Linked DNA regions of Arabidopsis thaliana. The protein of the gene in region 3 purifies or fractionates together with the protein of the main gene of each other region. This does not show direct contact. Each region holds a gene or a part of one and is shown on either strand. Other genes may lie near its edges.

The links.
Region 1: the proteins of AT4G14342 (region 3) and AT1G61700 fractionate together in Arabidopsis thaliana (co-fractionation; one large-scale study listed by BioGRID). This does not show direct contact.
Region 2: the proteins of AT4G14342 (region 3) and RPC14 fractionate together in Arabidopsis thaliana (co-fractionation; one large-scale study listed by BioGRID). This does not show direct contact.

Annotation. Positions count from the first base shown.
Region 1 is NC_003070.9:22,785,024-22,790,796, reverse strand, and holds AT1G61700 (RNA polymerases N / 8 kDa subunit), read right to left. Parts: upstream 3,786-5,773; 5' UTR 3,693-3,785; coding exon 3,657-3,692; intron 3,537-3,656; coding exon 3,478-3,536; intron 2,897-3,477; coding exon 2,802-2,896; intron 2,711-2,801; coding exon 2,685-2,710; 3' UTR 2,417-2,684; downstream 1-2,416. Other genes in the region: AT1G61710 (Cysteine/Histidine-rich C1 domain family protein), read left to right, coding at 221-681, 903-1,285, 1,574-1,938; AT1G61690 (phosphoinositide binding protein), read left to right, coding at 4,015-4,128, 4,484-4,652, 4,740-5,773.
Region 2 is NC_003071.7:12,641,129-12,646,360, forward strand, and holds RPC14 (RNApolymerase 14 kDa subunit), read left to right. Parts: upstream 1-1,699; 5' UTR 1,700-2,159; coding exon 2,160-2,388; intron 2,389-2,509; coding exon 2,510-2,700; 3' UTR 2,701-2,816; downstream 2,817-5,232. Other genes in the region: TIM10 (Tim10/DDP family zinc finger protein), read right to left, coding at 64-133, 260-298, 580-651, 776-828, 1,077-1,115; TUB7 (tubulin beta-7 chain), read right to left, coding at 3,130-3,815, 3,956-4,225, 4,411-4,804.
Region 3 is NC_003075.7:8,250,616-8,259,199, reverse strand, and holds AT4G14342 (Splicing factor 3B subunit 5/RDS3 complex subunit 10), read left to right. Parts: upstream 1-3,595; 5' UTR 3,596-3,794; coding exon 3,795-3,800; intron 3,801-4,029; coding exon 4,030-4,115; intron 4,116-4,203; coding exon 4,204-4,417; 3' UTR 4,418-4,700; intron 4,701-5,363; coding exon of another isoform or gene 5,364-5,411; 3' UTR 5,412-5,664; downstream 5,665-8,584. Other genes in the region: AT4G14350 (AGC (cAMP-dependent, cGMP-dependent and protein kinase C) kinase family protein), read left to right, coding at 1-63, 141-382, 467-686, 836-915, 1,002-1,086, 1,244-1,375, 1,471-1,584, 1,756-1,803 and 3 more; CKI1 (casein kinase I), read left to right, coding at 7,532-7,625, 7,726-7,766, 8,033-8,102, 8,193-8,341, 8,418-8,513.

The DNA of each region.
Region 1 (5,773 bases), on a different chromosome or scaffold from region 3:
ATACAAAGAAAAGAACATAATTCAACTCATTTTCACGGTTAAGGATCCAATAATTAAACGTAGAAGGAGACCTTTGGTATCAGATTTTCTTATGTATAGTGGAAAACTCTCAAAACTAGTATTTTGCATTTATATAAAAAAAAAAGATCTTAACAGAAGTATAGTAAACAAAGACTAGGAGAAGCCATGGATTTCGGTGGATTTCATGAGGAGGAAAAGGATGGTAACCTATTTCTGGAATATCATCATCCCAAGTATCATCCCAAACCAAAAACACATAGCCTATCTCCATCCGGTGAAGCAGTCAGCGATGACCATCTTCTTCAACCTCTTTTTTTATGCCCAAGTGCACGAAAATTTAAAGATAGAACTGGGAATATTTTCCCGCTCAATTCTTCCCCCGAGTTCGTCTTCTCTACAAGAAGTGCTACATATCATTCAGTACTCCCGTTGTTTTGGTGCAACAATAAAGAATTCGATATTGATGGTGGATGCAATATATGCCGTCACTCAAATTTTGGCACTGACTATTATTTTTGTGACATTTGCACGAAAAAGTATCACAAAGAATGCGTCGAGTCTCCACTTAAAATCAAACACCCTTATCACCCTCAGCATTCGCTCCAACTTTACTTTCACTTCCTTCTTTACAGTATTAATTGTTTATGCTGTAGAAGAAGAGTAAACTTCCTGGTATATTATTGTACCATATGTAACGTTTTCATGCATCCAGTATGTGCAGTGAAGCCAATACCCTTTGTTATAGACCCACCAAAAAGGCATGCCGACCATCCTCTCACTTTTTTTCCTAGACAAACTTCTTTAACTTGCAACTTTTGTGGTTTGGTGAGAAAACTATATCCCACCTACATATGTGTCAGATGCAACTTTGTGTTTCATAGTGATTGTATGTACTCTCCAAGCGTCATCAAGATATCACGTCACAACCATCGTATCTCCTACACTTTTTCTCTACGATCATGTGAATGGTCTTGTGGAGTTTTTCATCAAATTATTGACGGTGATTATGGTGCATATACTTGTGATAAGTGTGGTCATTATGCTGTTCATTCGAGATGTGCTCTAGAGAAAAATGTGTGGGATGGAAAAGATCTCGAAGGTTTACCAGACAAAGATGATATTACACAAGATGTTGGATCATTCAATATAATATCTAAGGAAGTGATACTTCATTTTCTCCATGACCATCATTTCCGGCTCGAAGTCAGTATACTTTATAACGAAAAAAAACTTTGTCAAGCGTGTTATTTACCTATTTTCGAAGGTAATTTCTATTCTTGTGTGGAGTGTGATGATTTCATCTTCCATGAAACATGTGCAAAATTTTGCAGGATATTACAACATGCATTACATCCTCATCCACTAACATTAAAAGCTGCAAGTAGATATGGTATGGATCGTTTTGGATGCAGTTCTTGTAATCGTGGTTGTCGTGGCTTTGTCTATGAGTGTTGCATAAGGGGATGTATCTTCACTCTAGATGTAAAATGTGCTTCAATTGCTGAGCCGTTTTGTTTCCAAGGTCATAAACATCCATTGTTCATATTTGTAGGCCGAGACGGAAAACTCATATGTCGCGTATGCAAAACAGAACGTCATAATCAATTAAATTGCATCAAATGTGATTTTATTGTTTGTATGAAGTGTGCTACATTACCCTATAGAGCAAGGTATGAACATGACAAACACTTTCTCACAGCTATATGGGAAGAAGAGGTCCGTGAAAAAGATTGGTGCGAAGTATGTGAACGTAATTTAAGAGACACAAACACAAAAGTGTTCTATTGGTGCGTTGAGTGCTGCACCATTTTCCATATTGAATGCGTACTAGGTAAAAACTCGAATTTGAGTCTAAGCCAAACTCTCAAATTCTGGGTTCAGCGGGCTCAAATTCTTTTAGAAAATCTTAATCTGTAATAGACTAATAGACAATATTTCCAAGCATTCAGTGAGTTATATAGCTCTACCTCTCTATTCAAATGTAATTTGTTTTCTTCATATTTGTCTCCTTGGTTTGTGTTTGAAAAAAAATAAAATAAAAAAAGTCTCCTTGGTTTGTTAAGTTCAGTATATTGTTCAATAAACATATTTCAGAATAAATTTTTATAATAAAAATATATCTTAATAAACATTTGATCCAAAATAAATATATATTCAACTAATTATAGTGTATATTTAATATAAATATTTATATTTCTTTTGTTAAATGGTTTCCTTGAATTAATACAACCACTTGTAACTAAAAAACTTTGATATTCTCCGGTTATAAAATGGGAGCTCCATTCAAATTGTTTTTATGTGCTCTGTTCTCATTACCAATTTGATATCGTACAAAAAGAGCTGCTTCCTACTCGTGATCTAGATTGTAGATTTGAACCTTATCAAATGTGTGATCTTTACTATTTATCAGGATTAGATTACCAAAAACAAATCAATAGATGATGACTCTACAGGCTTGAGCTTTATTTTTGGCTCGAAAAATTGTCTAGATTTCTAAAACCGAACAAGAACATCAGAAAACATTGAAATATCAACATTCCTAGTTATAAATTAAACCAAAATTTCTGAAACATTGTGGTTTTATTAAGACGCCCACATGGATGAGATGCATCACTCCTTCACTTCAGCTCTTGATGATTTGTTATTCATTATAGCATCTTTTTTTAATTGGGGTCGGATTTCTCCATAGCTGCAAAAGAGAAGTATTCGAATAAGCAAGTTAACAAAAAGAATAGAGCAGAGGCAACACAAGGCAAAAGAACCGGGTATGGAGATATTACTGTTGTAGTTTAGAAGCTTTTCGATTAGATCGACATGAGTCATAAGCATACGCCTGCAGCAGTAACGGACTAATCCAAGCGCGTCAAGAGCATCCCTGCGTATTCCAAAACCAAAATTCAGATTTTCAGTTCAACAAAATGCAATTTTAGCATAATGCCTAAAACCAAAGTAGCTAAAAGATTAGATAGAAACAAGAGAATGGAATATATCAGTGATCACCTACCATCATGCTCTTTACTAACACTTAAGATAACATCTATGAACTTCAAGATGATCAAATTGCAACTAAAACAAAAACGAAATTGCGCAATTCCAAATCATGTAGCTTAACACCTAGAACCAAACGGGCTAAAGATTACACTAGCGATTAAAACAAGAAAATCGAAAAATCCCAATGATCTAACTTCATGCTTTTAGTAACAAGGCTAAAACATGTATAAACTTTCAAGATGATCATACAAGACAAGATCATGCAATCTCTTTGACTACACAAAACCATCAAATCATTCTATTGTCATGTTCCACTATTGTTTCATCTTTTACATGACTCTCATTTCAACTAAGAAAATGTCAGAAAACGTTCAAAATTCCAAGATTCAATCACTCTCATGTTCACCAAAAAAATTTCTCACAAATTATGATTCTTTTTCTAATCATAAACTATATATCGCTTACCCTTCAGCGTAATCAGCCTGGAGAAGTTCAAGGTATGTGTCCCATTTGTTCCCAATCACCTACAAAAAATCATAAACAAAAGCTTCATAAATCTCAATACTACAAACCCTAGAGATTTGTCACACACATATATATATAACAAATCGAAATCGTACAAAAAGAGAGAAGAAAAAACAAACCTTTCCACAAGTAAAACAACGAACAGGGACGATCATCGTGAACGAATCGAAACTTTAAGAGTTTATCGTCTCAAAGCGATCTTTAGGGCTTGTCTCTTTCTAACTTCGTTCTCGTCTCAAAGCAAAAATTAGTTTCATGTCTAATTATTATTGCTTTATATATTGAGTCCTATTATGTGTTTTAGCTAAAACGATACCGTATTAGTTAAAATTATTTATTTTATATCTGACAATAGAGGAGGAAAAGTATTCTTCTTCTTCTTCTTCTTCATCTGCTCGATCTTTTACATTTCCGGTAAGATCAAAATCAAAACCAAGTTCGTTTCGCGGCGGAGGAGAAGAAGAATCAGACGGGAAAATGTTGGAGAAGATCGGATTACCGCCGAAGCCATCTCTAAGAGGAAATAGTTGGGTCGTTGATGCTTCTCATTGTCAAGGATGTTCTTCTCAATTCACTTTCATCAATCGCAAGGTCTTCCTCTCTCTTAATTTCCTTACTCTCTCTATCAATTGGTACTTGCTTATTGCTATCGCGATCTTTAGATTCTTAGTTTCTTCGATCGAAATTTAGTTTCGTCTTAGTCGATTCTTCTTCGAGATCTAATTCAGAATCTGTTTATCGGAAAACTTCACTGAATGATCGGTTTCTGGTGATGTGCCTATTTGATAGATTCCATATTTTTGAGTAAATTTGGTGAATCTGGATGTTTTGTGGTTTGTGTATTACTAGACTTGTGACTTGCTGGATTCTTCTATGTCTCCCAAAAACCTTTGAATTTGCTTAATTTTTCTTAGTTTCTGTTGGCTTTGTTTTTTTGAGCGAGCAGCATCATTGCCGGAGATGTGGGGGATTGTTCTGTGGAACCTGCACTCAGCAAAGGTTGTCACTACGTGGACAAGGTGACTCACCTGTGCGTATATGTGAACCATGTAAGAAAATTGAAGAAGCTGCACGGTTTGAGTTGCGTCATGGTTACAAAAATAGAGCTGCTAAAGGTATTTATGTACCTATAGTGATCTTATTTATGACACTTTTGTGTTATCTGCTAGTTTTTGATGTAAAGAGATTGTGAATTTGTTCAGGAGGTAGCTCGAAAAGGACTGTAAAGAATGAGGATGATGTTCTCAGTGAGATTCTAGGCTCTGATGTTGATGTATCTTCTTCATCTGAATCTGTGTCTAGCACAGACAGGAATGCTTCTAAAGAAATGGCAAGTAGCAGTAGTAATAAAGGTATGGAGTTGGATGCTAGTCCTGAAGAATTGCGTAAACAAGCAGTAGAAGCGAAGAATAAGTACAGAATTCTTAAAGGAGAAGGGAAATCTGATGAAGCTCTAAAAGCATTTAAGAGAGGGAGGGAACTTGAGAGAGAGGCCGACGCATTAGAGATATCTTTAAGAAGGAACCGGAAAAGGGAACTGTCTATGCGAAATGTTGCTGAGACGCAGAACAAGGCTGCTACCAAAGAATCTAGCAAATCACAAAAGCCTCTACGTCAAGGGGGTAAAGGAAATGATGATTTGGCAGCTGACCTGAGGGAGCTTGGGTGGTCTGACGATGAAGATAAGAAACCAGCAACTATAAGTTTGGAGGGCGAATTTTCGTCTCTTCTCCGTGAAATTCCGCGAAGTGCTAATCCTCAGAAGACTGGGGGTATTGACAAGAGTCAGGTAATTGCCCTTAAGAGAAAAGCCCTTACGCTGAAACGTGAAGGGAAGCTTGCGGAAGCTAAAGATGAACTGAAAAAGGCTAAAATTTTGGAAAGGGAACTGGAAGAGCAGGAACTTTTGGGTGGAGCTGATGGATCAGATGATGAGCTATCTGCACTTATTAATAGTATGGATGATGACAAAGAAGATGATCTGTTAGCTCAATACGAGGGAAGCCATGATTTCGACATTAGTAACCTTGTGGGAAATTTAGATGATATTGGAGTTCATGGTGAATATGATGTCACAGATGAAGATATGGAGGACCCAGCAATCGCTGCTGCATTGAAATCTTTGGGTTGGAGTGAGGATCCTGGACACCATGAGAATGTCCACTCTCGACCATCTCCTAAAAACAGAGATGAAAGTTTAGCTGAAATTCAGACATTGAAAAGAGAGGCCCTTAAT
Region 2 (5,232 bases), on a different chromosome or scaffold from region 3:
AGTCAACTATGAGAAGATTTGAAGTATCAAATTGTTAATTGTTGAAGTATCAGAGAGCCTTACCTGCCAGTACTTGGAAACACAACGGTCGATGCAACTATTCTCACCCATGTTTAGCTCAGCTTCCTTGTACCTGAGAATTAGGCAAAGAATCTCAAAACAGGTGCAACTTACTCATCTCTCAGCTAAGAAAAGTTTCAACAATTGCAGACAAGTTCCACGACGTAATTATAGAACATCAAAAGGAGAAATAGTTTACCTTTTATCCACACATTTATTAAAGCATGTTTGAGCAAGCCTGCAATACAAGAACAAGGCCTGTCAGCATAGTCTCTAACCCGAGGAATCACAATAGACCACAAAGTATATTAGAAGGAAAAGAAACACATATAAAGATGTGACTTTCTTCATAATCTCTAACCAGAGGAATCACAAATGGCCCGGGGAAATGAATATTAACAGAACACCACCTAAGTCATATGTTATCAAAGTTTAAACTCTACATAACAGCTGAATACATATGCACAGAACTCGAGAATTCCTCATAGAAAGATTTTAGATTTCCTCCTCAAGATAAACAATTCAGGCAGCCTAAGGATTTTCGACATATCAGCAGTCTCAAACTTATACTCCTCTAGCTTATATATATCACTATTTGAAAATAAGTGAAGCCCTAAACAATGTGATCAAAACAAAATTAAACCAGATAAGCAATCACAAGTGAAAATCGAATTTCATAACGAAAGATAAACCAAATGGGTGTTTGATTCAGTACTTGTTAAAGAGTTCCACGCGATACTCCATCTCCGTTTGTGCCATACTAAACGCCTGATTCAAATCCAAGACACCAAAAAAAAAAAGCAAAATGAGAAACTTGACAACACCAATCCAAATCTAATAAATGGCTTAAAGATCTGAATCACGATACAATTTAAACCCTAAGCATTGCAAAAACATTGAAACCTATATGTCATCACAGAGACAGCTAGAAAAACTTAAGCTTCCATTGTCTAATTAGATCAAAGATCGGAGCTTTACGATGTATTAACAATAAAGGACGAGCAAATAAACCGAACCTGTTCCTTAGTAACGCCGACGGGAATAGGAGAAGCCATTTTTTTAGCAGTACCTGAATACAAAATTAATGATTCGTAAAAATCGAAACTTTATAATTCATACTTGAATTTGAAGATCATAAATCCTTACTTTCTCAAATGGGATTTCGTGAAGAGAGGTAAAGAACACAACAAAGGCTTCTCTTTTGCTACACAGCCGAATTAGGGTTTAAGAGACATTACACGCCACGTCATCAAACGAAAGGGTATAGATGTAATTACGCTAAAGTATCTGAGCTTCTCCACGACTAAAAGTCGCCGACTAATCAAGCTTTTAGGGTTTTAGCAAATTTCTATTGGAGGTATCTTCTTTCTTACTCTCTCAACTTTTTTTGCTGAAATTTTCTTCAATTTCGAGTTTTTCTTTGTGGGTTTGTTTAGCTATTCAAAGCTTTCAATTGAAGTCGTTCTCTTTCTGTGTTTTCTAGTTGGTGGTGGATTTTTGATTTTGAGTTAAGGAATTGAGTAGCAAGAAGGTGAGATATGGAGCACGGTTCGTTCACGAATGTTAGTCATGCTTCGTTTACTTTATCGGAAGAAGATCACACACTTGCTAATGCTGTTAGATTCGTCTTAAACCAAGAGTAAGTATCTTCTTCTTTCAATCCTTTTGAATCTGTTATGTATATATATAGAAGAAGCTATACACTTTCACAGAGAAAGGCTTTAGCTTTATAATCTCATACTTAGTTCGTGACACTCTCAAATTCTGATTATTGAGTTCATAGTTTCCCTCATTAGGAATGAATCTCTTACCTGTCTTTACCTTTGTTTTTGGTTAGAATTATTGTGAAGATAATCAAATTTTGTTTGAATAATCAGTGTGCACATTGTATGTTTGTGCCATTATAAGGTGATTGTGAAGGTTGAGTTCGATTCAGATTCATGTTCTGTGGTTAGAGACTAGAAAAGATAGTCTAGAATTAGCTCTTAGATAGAGACAGCAGTGACGAGGCATTATTGTTCCGATATCTTTCGTTGGATGAGTTTGGTCCATTAAGTTCGCCATTATATTGTGATTGTGAAACTTGAGAGTTCGATTAAATGTTGGTTTACATTCATGTTATGTTGTTAGAGATTCTCATTGTATTCAATGAATGTCACATTATCTTATCTTTGAGGTTGATGGAGTTGATATGCTGGTGTGTAGACAATGATGATTATGTCAATAACCAGTACTGTTTTCAATTCTGCAGTCCCAGAGTAACCGTGGCTGCATACACCATCCCACATCCTTCCCTTGAACAGGTCAATATCCGGGTCCAGACAACAGGTACTGTTTTTCAAAAACTCTGTTCATCAGAGTTAAGCTATGTTCTTTTTGGATAACTCTTATCCGAGTTCTTTGTCTGTGTGTCTAACAACATAAAACGTGTTGGCTCTGTGGCTTTTAGGTGATCCAGCAAGAGAGGTTTTTAAAGATGCATGTCAAGAGCTCATGCAAATGAACAGACATGTGAGAAGCGTTTTTGATAAGGCTGTTGCTGAGTATAAGGATGAACAAAAGCGTAAGGAGGAGGCTGAAGAAGAAGAGCTTAAGAGGCAGAGGGATCTATTTGGGTCCATGGACATTGAAAACAACTGATAACCATTGTATTCTCCTATGGAGTTTATACTATTTTTATCTTAAATCCAGATTCGTCCTTCAAATTGACTCGTCAAATTCATAATCCACACCAAAATTTAACCAAGAAGATTCTTATATTGCTTATAACCATTGTCACTACTACTCTGCTTCTTATATTTGAAAGATGGTGAAGTCTTCACCGAATTCACATAGTCAAAATTAACAAAAGGTTATATAATGAAACAAAGAAAAAAAATACTATGGATGGATTTTGATTTAGCAAAATAGATTGTTTGAATATTGATTGATAAATCCTCTTAGCCTACGCAGAGTATCATAACTACTAATAACGCAAGCGATAGTTACAGAAACTATAAGAACTTAATAGAAGAGAGTTTTAAAAGTAAACAGCAACTGGAAGTTGAGGTGTTCTTATCATCTGTTTCTTCAATAAGTTTCTTCTTGCTCGTACTCAGCTTCTTCCTCTTCATATTCTCCTTCTTCATCAGCCGTTGCATCTTGATACTGCTGATACTCAGAGACAAGATCGTTCATGTTGCTTTCAGCTTCAGTGAACTCCATCTCATCCATACCTTCACCTGTGTACCAATGCAAGAAAGCCTTTCTCCTGAACATAGCAGTGAATTGCTCACTGACACGCCTGAACATCTCTTGGATCGAAGTTGAGTTACCAATGAACGTTGAAGCCATCTTCAGACCAGTAGGGGGAATGTCACAGACGGTTGATTTGACGTTGTTAGGGATCCATTCCACAAAGTAGGAGGAGTTCTTGTTCTGTACGTTCAGCATCTGTTCATCGACCTCCTTGGTGCTCATCTTTCCACGGAACATGGCTGAAGCAGTGAGGTAGCGACCGTGTCTTGGGTCAGCAGCACACATCATGTTCTTAGCATCCCACATTTGCTGAGTGAGCTCTGGGACAGTGAGGTTACGGTACTGCTGAGATCCACGAGAGGTGAGAGGAGCAAATCCCACCATGAAGAAGTGGAGACGAGGGAATGGGATCAGATTCACAGCTAGCTTTCGCAGATCAGAGTTCAGTTGACCAGGGAACCTAAGACAGCAGGTTACACCAGACATGGTTGCAGAGATCAAGTGGTTCAGATCACCAACTGCACAATTCAGAAAACAAACAAAAAAATATGTGAGTGAAGTTTCAATACTAATCAATAACTAAGCCTGAAACAATAAACCACAGAGACAGATACAGTAACAACATTGACTCATAATCGAAGAACATTGGAATACTTACAACTTGGAGTGCTAAGCTTGAGTGTACGGAAGCAAATGTCATACAAAGCTTCGTTGTCAAGAACCATACACTCATCAGCGTTCTCAACAAGCTGGTGCACAGATAGTGTTGCGTTGTAAGGCTCCACAACAGTGTCAGACACCTTAGGCGATGGGAACACAGAGAAAGTCATCATCATACGGTCTGGGTACTCCTCCCTGATCTTAGATATCAACAAAGTTCCCATTCCAGAACCAGTTCCTCCTCCCAAGGAATGGCACACCTGAAATCCTGTAAATCCAAACAACCAAAACCATAAGCAAACAACGAATACAAAACCGAATCCGTATTCCACAGTTCAAAATCAGAAATCTAAACCTAAAAACAATCATACACTACCAATACCCAACCTAAATTTACAGATCCAAAAACCTAAATAGACAAAAACCTAAATAAGGAAGACGGATTTCAAATACCTTGAAGGCAGTCACAGTTCTCAGCCTCTTTGCGAACAACATCAAGGACCGAATCAATAAGCTCAGCACCTTCAGTGTAGTGACCTTTAGCCCAGTTATTCCCAGCACCGGACTGACCGAAGACGAAGTTATCCGGTCGAAAGATCTGACCGTACGGACCAGATCTGACACTGTCCATGGTTCCAGGCTCCAAATCCATGAGAACAGCGCGAGGAACGTACCTTCCACAACTCGCCTCGTTGTAGTATACATTAACCCTCTCAAGCTGTAACTCGGAATCTCCTACATACCGTCCCGTCTGATCAATCCCGTGCTCGAGATTAACCACTTCCCAAAACTTGGAACCGATTTGGTTTCCGCATTGACCTCCTTGAATATGAAGAATCTCACGCATCTTCGCTCACAGAGAAGAAAACCCTAAAACTGGATCTAAAAAGAGAGAGAGAGAGAGAGATTTTGAAAAAGGGAAAGGAGAAGCAGAGAGGATCTTTTGTTTTATGAGAGAGAGAAGAAGAGGAGGGTCCATTTATAAAGAAAAGGAGGTTTTAACGGCTAATATTTGGTAATTCGAAATCGAATCGACGGTTTAGATAATGCCACGTAAATCGAGGTGGCAACGGGTGGCAAAATTCAAAAATTAATGGCTCGTGATAAAAAGTTTTTTTGAATTTCGTAAAAAAATATGTTCGTGTGAATGACAGCTGGATTCCATTAAGGAGAGCAGTTACTAAAACATCGTCGCACTCGCACGTGCTTTATGAGAGATAAAAAAGCGGTTCCAACCTGGCAATCGCACGTGAGAGACTTCTTATTGGGCCTAAA
Region 3 (8,584 bases):
GGAACAGGCAATGTCTATGCAATGAAGAAGCTTAAGAAATCTGAGATGCTTCGCAGAGGCCAGGTATTTAAATTCCTTCAAGTGGCTTTCGTTTGACATTTGTTTAGTTGGTTGATGTGAATGTGGAATCTGATTTTCAGGTGGAACATGTAAAAGCAGAGAGAAATTTACTTGCAGAAGTTGATAGCAATTGCATTGTCAAACTGTATTGTTCTTTCCAAGATGAAGAGTACTTGTATCTCATAATGGAGTATTTACCTGGTGGGGATATGATGACTTTACTTATGAGGAAAGACACCCTCACTGAAGACGAGGCCAGGTTTTATATTGGGGAAACTGTCCTGGCTATTGAGTCCATTCATAAGCACAACTACATTCACAGGTCAGTGAAGCAGAATATATGATTTAGTTCTAGCTCCCATTGTTATTTTGTTCTAAACGTCTTTTTTTCTCCAATGTGATACAGAGATATCAAGCCTGATAATCTGCTACTTGACAAAGACGGCCACATGAAATTGTCAGATTTTGGATTATGTAAACCATTAGACTGTAGTAATCTTCAAGAGAAAGACTTTACAGTTGCAAGAAACGTTAGTGGGGCTTTACAAAGTGATGGTCGCCCTGTGGCGACAAGACGCACCCAACAAGAGCAATTACTAAACTGGCAGAGAAATAGAAGGATGCTTGTAAGTTTCACTTATTCCTCATCTTTTCTTCCAGAGATGTGGAGTAGTCCACAGTATCCAGTATATTTCGTTATTGAAAGCAAATTCTCTCCATTGATATAGACATCTATGTTAGATATGACTTACTAGGTTAAGGTCATTACTTTCAGGCTTATTCCACAGTTGGCACTCCTGACTATATTGCCCCAGAAGTTCTGTTGAAAAAAGGATATGGAATGGAATGTGATTGGTAGGTGAAGCCAACCTATTCCTATTTGTGGTCTTTGATTTCTTTGGTGTAAATAAATAATATGGGTGAATAATCTTGAGATTTAGGTGGTCTCTTGGCGCCATTATGTATGAAATGCTTGTGGGGTTTCCGCCCTTTTATTCAGATGACCCAATGACAACTTGTAGGAAGGTAATTAATCCATTCCTTTTTGAATCTTTCATTTTAATATTGAAGGCAGACTGGCGATTTCAAGTCTTACATTTAATTTTAGTCTTTTTGTATCTCTTTGGTAATTCTAATGTGGAAACTTACCTCTTCTCGATTCATTATCTTCCCCCTTATGCAGATAGTAAATTGGAGAAATTACTTGAAATTCCCAGATGAGGTTAGACTATCACCAGAAGCCAAGGATCTTATTTGTAGGCTTTTATGCAATGTTGAACAAAGGCTTGGAACAAAAGGAGCAGATGAAATTAAGGTGTTGTATGCGTTGTTCAACTTTGAGATTCAAAGTTCCCTTATGTAAGATCATTGTGTGCAATTCTTAAAAACGATTTGACTGGTTTCTTTCAGGGTCACCCTTGGTTTAGAGGCACAGAATGGGGAAAATTGTATCAAATGAAAGCTGCCTTTATTCCCCAAGTTAATGATGAGTTGGACACCCAAAATTTTGAGAAATTTGAAGAGGTAACACACTGATACTATCAGCTAATGATGTCTATAGTGAAATATTGGTGCAATATATGCCACCAAATGATGTGGCATGATGTATATACTGAAATATTGGTATCACAGATGATTTTTATGCTCCTGATAAGGAAAATAATGTATACTCTTCTTTGATTCCTTCTGGAACAGACTGACAAGCAAGTTCCAAAGTCAGCCAAGTCAGGTCCATGGAGAAAGGTACAGCATAAGCACTGACTTTTTGGCATTATGTACCATCAAGCTTTTTTTTTTTATCTAATAGAAGAGTGATCATACTTCAAAATTTATCTATAAGTGGGTTCCTTGAGATATGTTGTTCTTTGATGATACTACAGACGTAGCTTAAAATATTACATGCAACAAAGAGCTCAGAATGATGAAATTGGCTCAGTTTCTGTCACAGGCGTTTCTATCTTTGTACTATATTCACAAAAACGTGATTCACTCTTTTAGGTTCAAATTTTCTTATGGTAATTTAGAATTTGGAGCTGATTGGGATGCTACTAACAGAATTATGTTGTTAATCTGCCAGTTCTGCATGTTGACGTGTGTTAGATGAATCACTTATCTTTTTGGACCAACATGATATAACTTAGAACCTGTTCTGTCAATAGAATTTATGTCATGAACCAAAAGGATTCTTGTGAATTTCATAACATGACGCTGGCTTTCTTTTTTTCTTCTCCAGATGCTCTCATCCAAAGACATTAACTTTGTTGGTTATACTTACAAGAACGTAGAAATCGTAAATGATGACCAAATACCAGGGATAGGTAATTCACTTAACCCCCCTTCCGTTGCTGAGGAAGAAGCAACAATACTAGATTACCTTGTGATTATCATCGCATGTTTGCTGCATTTGTAATTTGTTTTATTGTGCAGCTGAGTTGAAGAAGAAGAGCAATAAGCCAAAAAGGCCGTCTATTAAATCTCTCTTTGGTAAATCATCTGTTTGTATGCTATTTGTAAAATCAAGATGATTACGATCCATGTTTGATTCTCTCTAACCAAACTGTGGAAACTAAATTAACAGAAGACGAAACATCTGGTGGGACAACAACCCACCAAGGAAGCTTTTTGAATCTACTACCGACGCAGATTGAAGATCCAGAGAAAGAAGGTAGTAAGTCGAGCTCATCCGGGTGAATTTCATTTGACACATTGCACAGCCTGAACCAGAAGACTCTTGTTATATTAACATGTGTGTTGTTGATTTCGTTGAAAGCCTTTTGCTTTCTCTAAACGACTGTTAAAAGTTGGAGTTAGCAGGGGTTTTTCAACAAAGTACAGTCTCTCCAGTGGAAGCGAAGGCTCTCCCAGAGGAGAAAGATGGATTTGTTTAATTGTTTTCAACATAGAAAAGTGAAAAAGTAAATATTCTTTTCGGAATTGGCTTGTTTATTTATTTTCACAGGGAGAGAAGGTGAGCTTTGGTATTTGATTTTTTTTTTTTTGGTTAATCAAAACTTGGTTGTACTACTAAACCTCAAGATGAAATCTTCACCCTCTAATGCTATAAGCAAAAGTATTTACTATTTATTAGATTAGAAAAAGCGCCAATCTGAAAAACTGTTCTCACTGAATGTGTTTAATTGAGTACACTCAAGAGTGAAACAGATGGCTTAATGGCACCTCAGATTTGGTGCTAAAAGTCTACAGTCTACACTATATGTAGGCCTTTGGAACCAATTGCGTGTGAAGACTGAAGACTAAAAAGTGCATACAAAAGAAGTAGAGAACAAATGTACCTCTATGAGTATTCGTAGGCCCTTAAGAGACCTTCTTCAAATGTCAAAATAGTATAAAAAAGAAAAAAGACTAAGTGTGGCTGCTGGGATTCGAGCCCAGGTCCCCACGGCCACAACGTGGGATTCTAACCACTAAACTACAGCCACTTTTGTTTGTATTCTGTAGATTGATAATGATTAAAGAATCCACAATTGTTAGCCAAATTCCAAGCTTCTTGCCTTAACTTCTTTATTATGTGAAACGACCACGTTTTCATTTTATGATCTACTACTTCGGGTACACCGAACGAACCGGTCGGTTATTTCGGATTTAAATATTAACCGAAAACAATTAGCAGATAAAGGACTTGAAGAAAGATAGGGTTTAGATCTTCTTCTTCTTCTTCTTCTTCTTCTTCTTCTTCTTCTTCTTCTTCTAGTTGCTGCGAAACTCTGAAAAAGATGCAGGTATGTTCTCGATCCGAAACCCTAGCTTTTGTTGGTAAATTGGAAGAAGAAATAACCTAATTAGCTTCTTCTACCTTTGATTCTCTGTCTGTTTAATTTATCTATGTCGAAGAGAATTGGCTTAGACGAAATTAGGTCGATTTGTTTCTTATAAAGCATATATAGATGAAATCGGGAACAATTTGCTTTAAATTTAACATCTTTTGGTTTGGGTTTTTTTCTTTTGCAGGCAAGTGATAGGTTTAACATCAATTCTCAGCTTGAGCATCTTCAAGCTAAATATGTTGGAACCGGTCATGCTGATTTGAGTAGATTGTGAGTTTCTTTTGATTTTAGTGTTCAAATTTTTATATGCATTGTTTTTATTGGCTACTAATTTGTGGAATTGGTTTAAATGGTACAGTGAGTGGGCTGTGAACATTCAGCGTGATAGTTATGCTTCATACATTGGTCACTACCCTATGCTTTCATACTTTGCTATTGCTGAGAACGAGTCTATTGGACGAGAACGCTACAATTTCATGCAGGTTTGCCTCCTTTCATGTCTTTTGCATATTACTTTCTCTAGTGACAAATCTACAGTTCAAGATTTGGATTATGATTCTATGTTTATTTGATTAGGTGCGTATCATATGGTTATGTAACTTATGTTGCCTTCCAGATTTATTGCTTTGTTGTATGGTTTTTAGTTTACTGTTAAATGTCGTATTTGTCTATTCGTCGTGATATTTTGATTTCTTAGACCATGGACTTCAGTTTTGACTGACTATTTCAGCAGCCTCTAGTTCTGTAGGATACAATTATATTAGAGAGCGTTGGGTCATGGTCTTACTCAACTCGGTTGGTTTCGGTTTATTCGCCTCTTGCATGGTTGAAATGTGTGATAGGTTAGAATTTCATGTAGGTTTGCTTCCTATTCTCTGTGTTAATAGGAATCTTATCAGTAAAATTCTGTACTTTCCTTTTGCCTCATCCTTTATCTAGTGACAAATCTACAGTTCAAGGTTTGGATTATGATTCTATGTGTAGTCGATTAGGAATGTATCATTTCGTGGTTATCTTGTGGTATATCTCATTCCTTTTCCTTTTCAGATTCATTGATTTGTTGTATGGTTTTAGTTTAGGTCTTGTCAATGGCGTATTTCTCTATTTGTCGTGATATGTTGATTTCCTAGACTATGGACTTCACATTTCACTGACCATTCAGCAGCCTCCAGTTGTGTAGGTTACAATTAGATTATAGAGCATTAGGTTATGGTGTGGTCTCTCACTCAAATGTTTTCATTTGTCCTCAATTCTCAAATTAATGGAAGCTTAGTTCCTTTCACAAACAGTTGTGAGCTCGCCTTGGCTTTCAGTTTTTTCATGAAACAGGTCTCTTACATGGTTGAATAATCTTGTGATAGCGATCTCTTATATCTGAATATATGGTCTTCTTGAGGGTTAATCGAAAAGCATAGAAAAATATGAATATTTGTGGGGTGTTCTTTGCTCAAAAAATTGGTTACACTTTGTAGATGTGATGATGTTTTGGAATAACTTGAGATGTCTTTTGATTTCCAGAAAATGCTATTACCCTGCGGCCTTCCTCCGGAAAGAGAAGAGGAATAGGTGACATGAGGATTCGATTTGTCTTTCAAGTTATCAAGAACTCGTGTGATGGAATGTTGGTTTGGAGTTTTAAAAACTGTCCAATTTGATCTTCTGGTAGAGATTTATATGACTGTTAAAAAACAACTTTGTCTGTGTAAGTTTGCTTTTCTTGAATGTAAAAAACAAAACACCTTGGATTTTTAGGTTGGTTTTACACGGTTTCGTGTTTTAATCAAATTCATCAAAATTTTCAATTTTTGAACTATCCAAAAACCCGAATAATCCGACATAACCGTTATTGCATGCCTAGTTTGATTTGTTAAAAGTTCCCGACATAAATTCTTACCGTGGGATGTCCAAACGACAAGAAAACAACGGGTGTGACAAATGGACAAATAAAAGCAAAAAGCTTAGGCCACTTAAACCAAAAGCCATTTCATCAAACGTATTCTAAAATCTAAACTATAAATAATGTAATATCGTCAACGATGGAAGCCTATAAACACTATAGTTGATATAATCATACGCATCTATTATAAGCTTGCTTACTTATGGATAATTTTTCTTATTCTCTTTGACTTATTTTTGCCTAGTTTCATTGACCATCATAATACTTTAACAATACCGAAAGTTTCATAAACATTATAAAACTTTAGTCATTGTATACAATCCGAAAGTTTCATAAACATTATAAAACTTTAGTCATTGTATACAATTATCAATAAGTTTTGTTTCCCATGCATGTGAAATATCACTTGACTCAAGATGAATGGTCCTAACACGTTTACCTTTAGAGACACATGTTAATTTTCATATTGAAAATGAAAGTAAAAACAAAATGCTTAATATAGCATAGAAGAACATTAGCTATCCTACTAAATTACCATATAGAAGAAACTCATGAATTTCACACTGTGTTCATGAGTTCATCGAGAAGATCTACTAACGACATGTAAACTGGTTATTAAGTATGAGCTTGATTTCTCAAGACTCATCAACAAGTGTTCCATGTATCGACGTTACCAAGCGTTCGGGAGATCCACAAGTAAATGGATGCTTTCTTTTTTAAATTGTTTGAACTTTTATAAAATCAGGTCCTTTACATGCACTTCCAGAATCTGTCCAAGCGAGAGATCATAAGATAGAACAAAGTGATAATATGATAATATTGCGCTAGTACACGATTTGTTGACAGTTTAAATCCAAAAATGTTCATCAACATATTGGTACGATTAGTAAATGAGTAAAAAAAAACTTAAATAAATCAATGTAAATTGGGTGATGTATGTAGACTTAGGTATTGCACTAACTTGATTTTATTGATTCACAAAGTATAGTATTTATACAAGAGAGACATCTTATGAGATATACTCTAATCCCTAAAATATAGGACATAACTCTATCACAAGATATATAGTGATAATCTTAATGAGATTATACTCTATCCCCAATAATGTATCAAAATATATAAACGTAAAATGAAAATTTCAGCTTGAAAAATGACAAATGTAGAACTTTTTTTTTTGGTGGTAGATTCTGTTTTTAATAAAAATATATTATAAAGTTTTGCAAACTTGTTTCGTGTTGTTGTTGATTAAGTGATGTTTATGGTTATTACGAATTAGAGTTTTGGTCGTTAGAAAACAGAGAATTTAAATGTTAAACCGTGCACGAAAACAACTAATTTTTTCTTCTAAGTAATTAAAAAAAAAACAGTATACAAAAATAAAATAAAAAGATTCAATGAATGATAAATATTTACGTTGAAGTTTTGTCTTTCTTTAGGTTAAATTCAATTTTCACATATTCATTTCTTTATTATTCCCTTCTTCTTCTTTCTCTTTCTCTTTTCTTCCGCAAATCTCCGCAAAATCTTCCCTCAAACTCAGATCCGATTCTTCTAATTCTTTGTCCCCCCAGAGATTCTTCTTCTTTCTCCAAGTAAAAGAAAACAACTTTCTTTCTCTTTTCTTGCGAAAGTCCTCAACTTTCACCACTAAATCAGCTTCCTTCAATCACTGTGTTTGCTTTGGACCCAGTTTCTGATTTAGCGACTAGGGTTTTGATTGGAACCGTATTAAGTATATGAGAATCGGGTTTTACTGGTGAATCGGATTATCATCGGAATTCGGAAAAAGATGGATCGGAATCAAAAGATGGATCACGTTATCGGCGGGAAGTTTAAGTTGGGTAGGAAGCTTGGAAGTGGATCATTCGGTGAACTTTATTTAGGTATCAAATCAATCTATTCACATCTTGAGAGTGTTTACTAGTTCTTGCATTGGGTTTGTTTAGTTGTTGTTGAAGTGTAATCTATGTGTGTATGATTTAGGGATCAATATTCAAACTGGAGAAGAAGTCGCAGTTAAGCTGGTAATACTACGAATTTGTTTAAGTTATTTCATTCAAATTTTATAGATTTTGTGCTGAGGAAGGTTTCAATTTTGGATAATGAATCAATGTTATTTGCAGCTTGTTTTAAGTGAGACTAGTTTTGATTGGGAATAGAAGTGTAATTTGCAGCTTGTTCTCTTCTTATTCCTGATGGTTGCTGCTCTGTTATGGAAAGAAATGGTGTTAATTATGCAAGCTCCATTTCTGTCTTTGTGGTCTAATAATGGTTCTTTTTTTGACACTAGGAACCTGTGAAGACGAGGCATCCTCAACTGCAGTATGAATCGAAAATATATATGTTTCTTCAAGGAGGAAGTGAGTTTGGTTTGTCTTTCTCTGCTAGTTTATATGAAGTTTTAGTTCCAAGCCTCTGATACCTTGATATATTTTCTTTCTGTTAAATAGCGGGTGTTCCCCATCTGAAATGGTTTGGAGTTGAGGGTGAATACAGTTGCATGGTTATCGATCTTCTTGGGCCAAGCTTGGAGGACTTATTCAATTACTGCAAGCGAATATTTTCATTAAAATCTGTTTTAATGCTTGCAGATCAATTGGTAAGTACTGAGTAATGAGTATGCCCTTTCTTTAAGATGTTAGGTTGGTCGTTGAGAGTATGTTGTATCAATGCAGATATGTAGAGTTGAGTATATGCATTCGCGGGGTTTTCTTCACCGCGATATTAAACCAGACAACTTTTTGATGGGTCTTGGGCGCAGAGCAAACCAGGTAATCTACCGATTCAGCATGAGTTGGTGTATGTTTTGAAGATGTCTTTAGAATAAATCTGTGTGTGATTC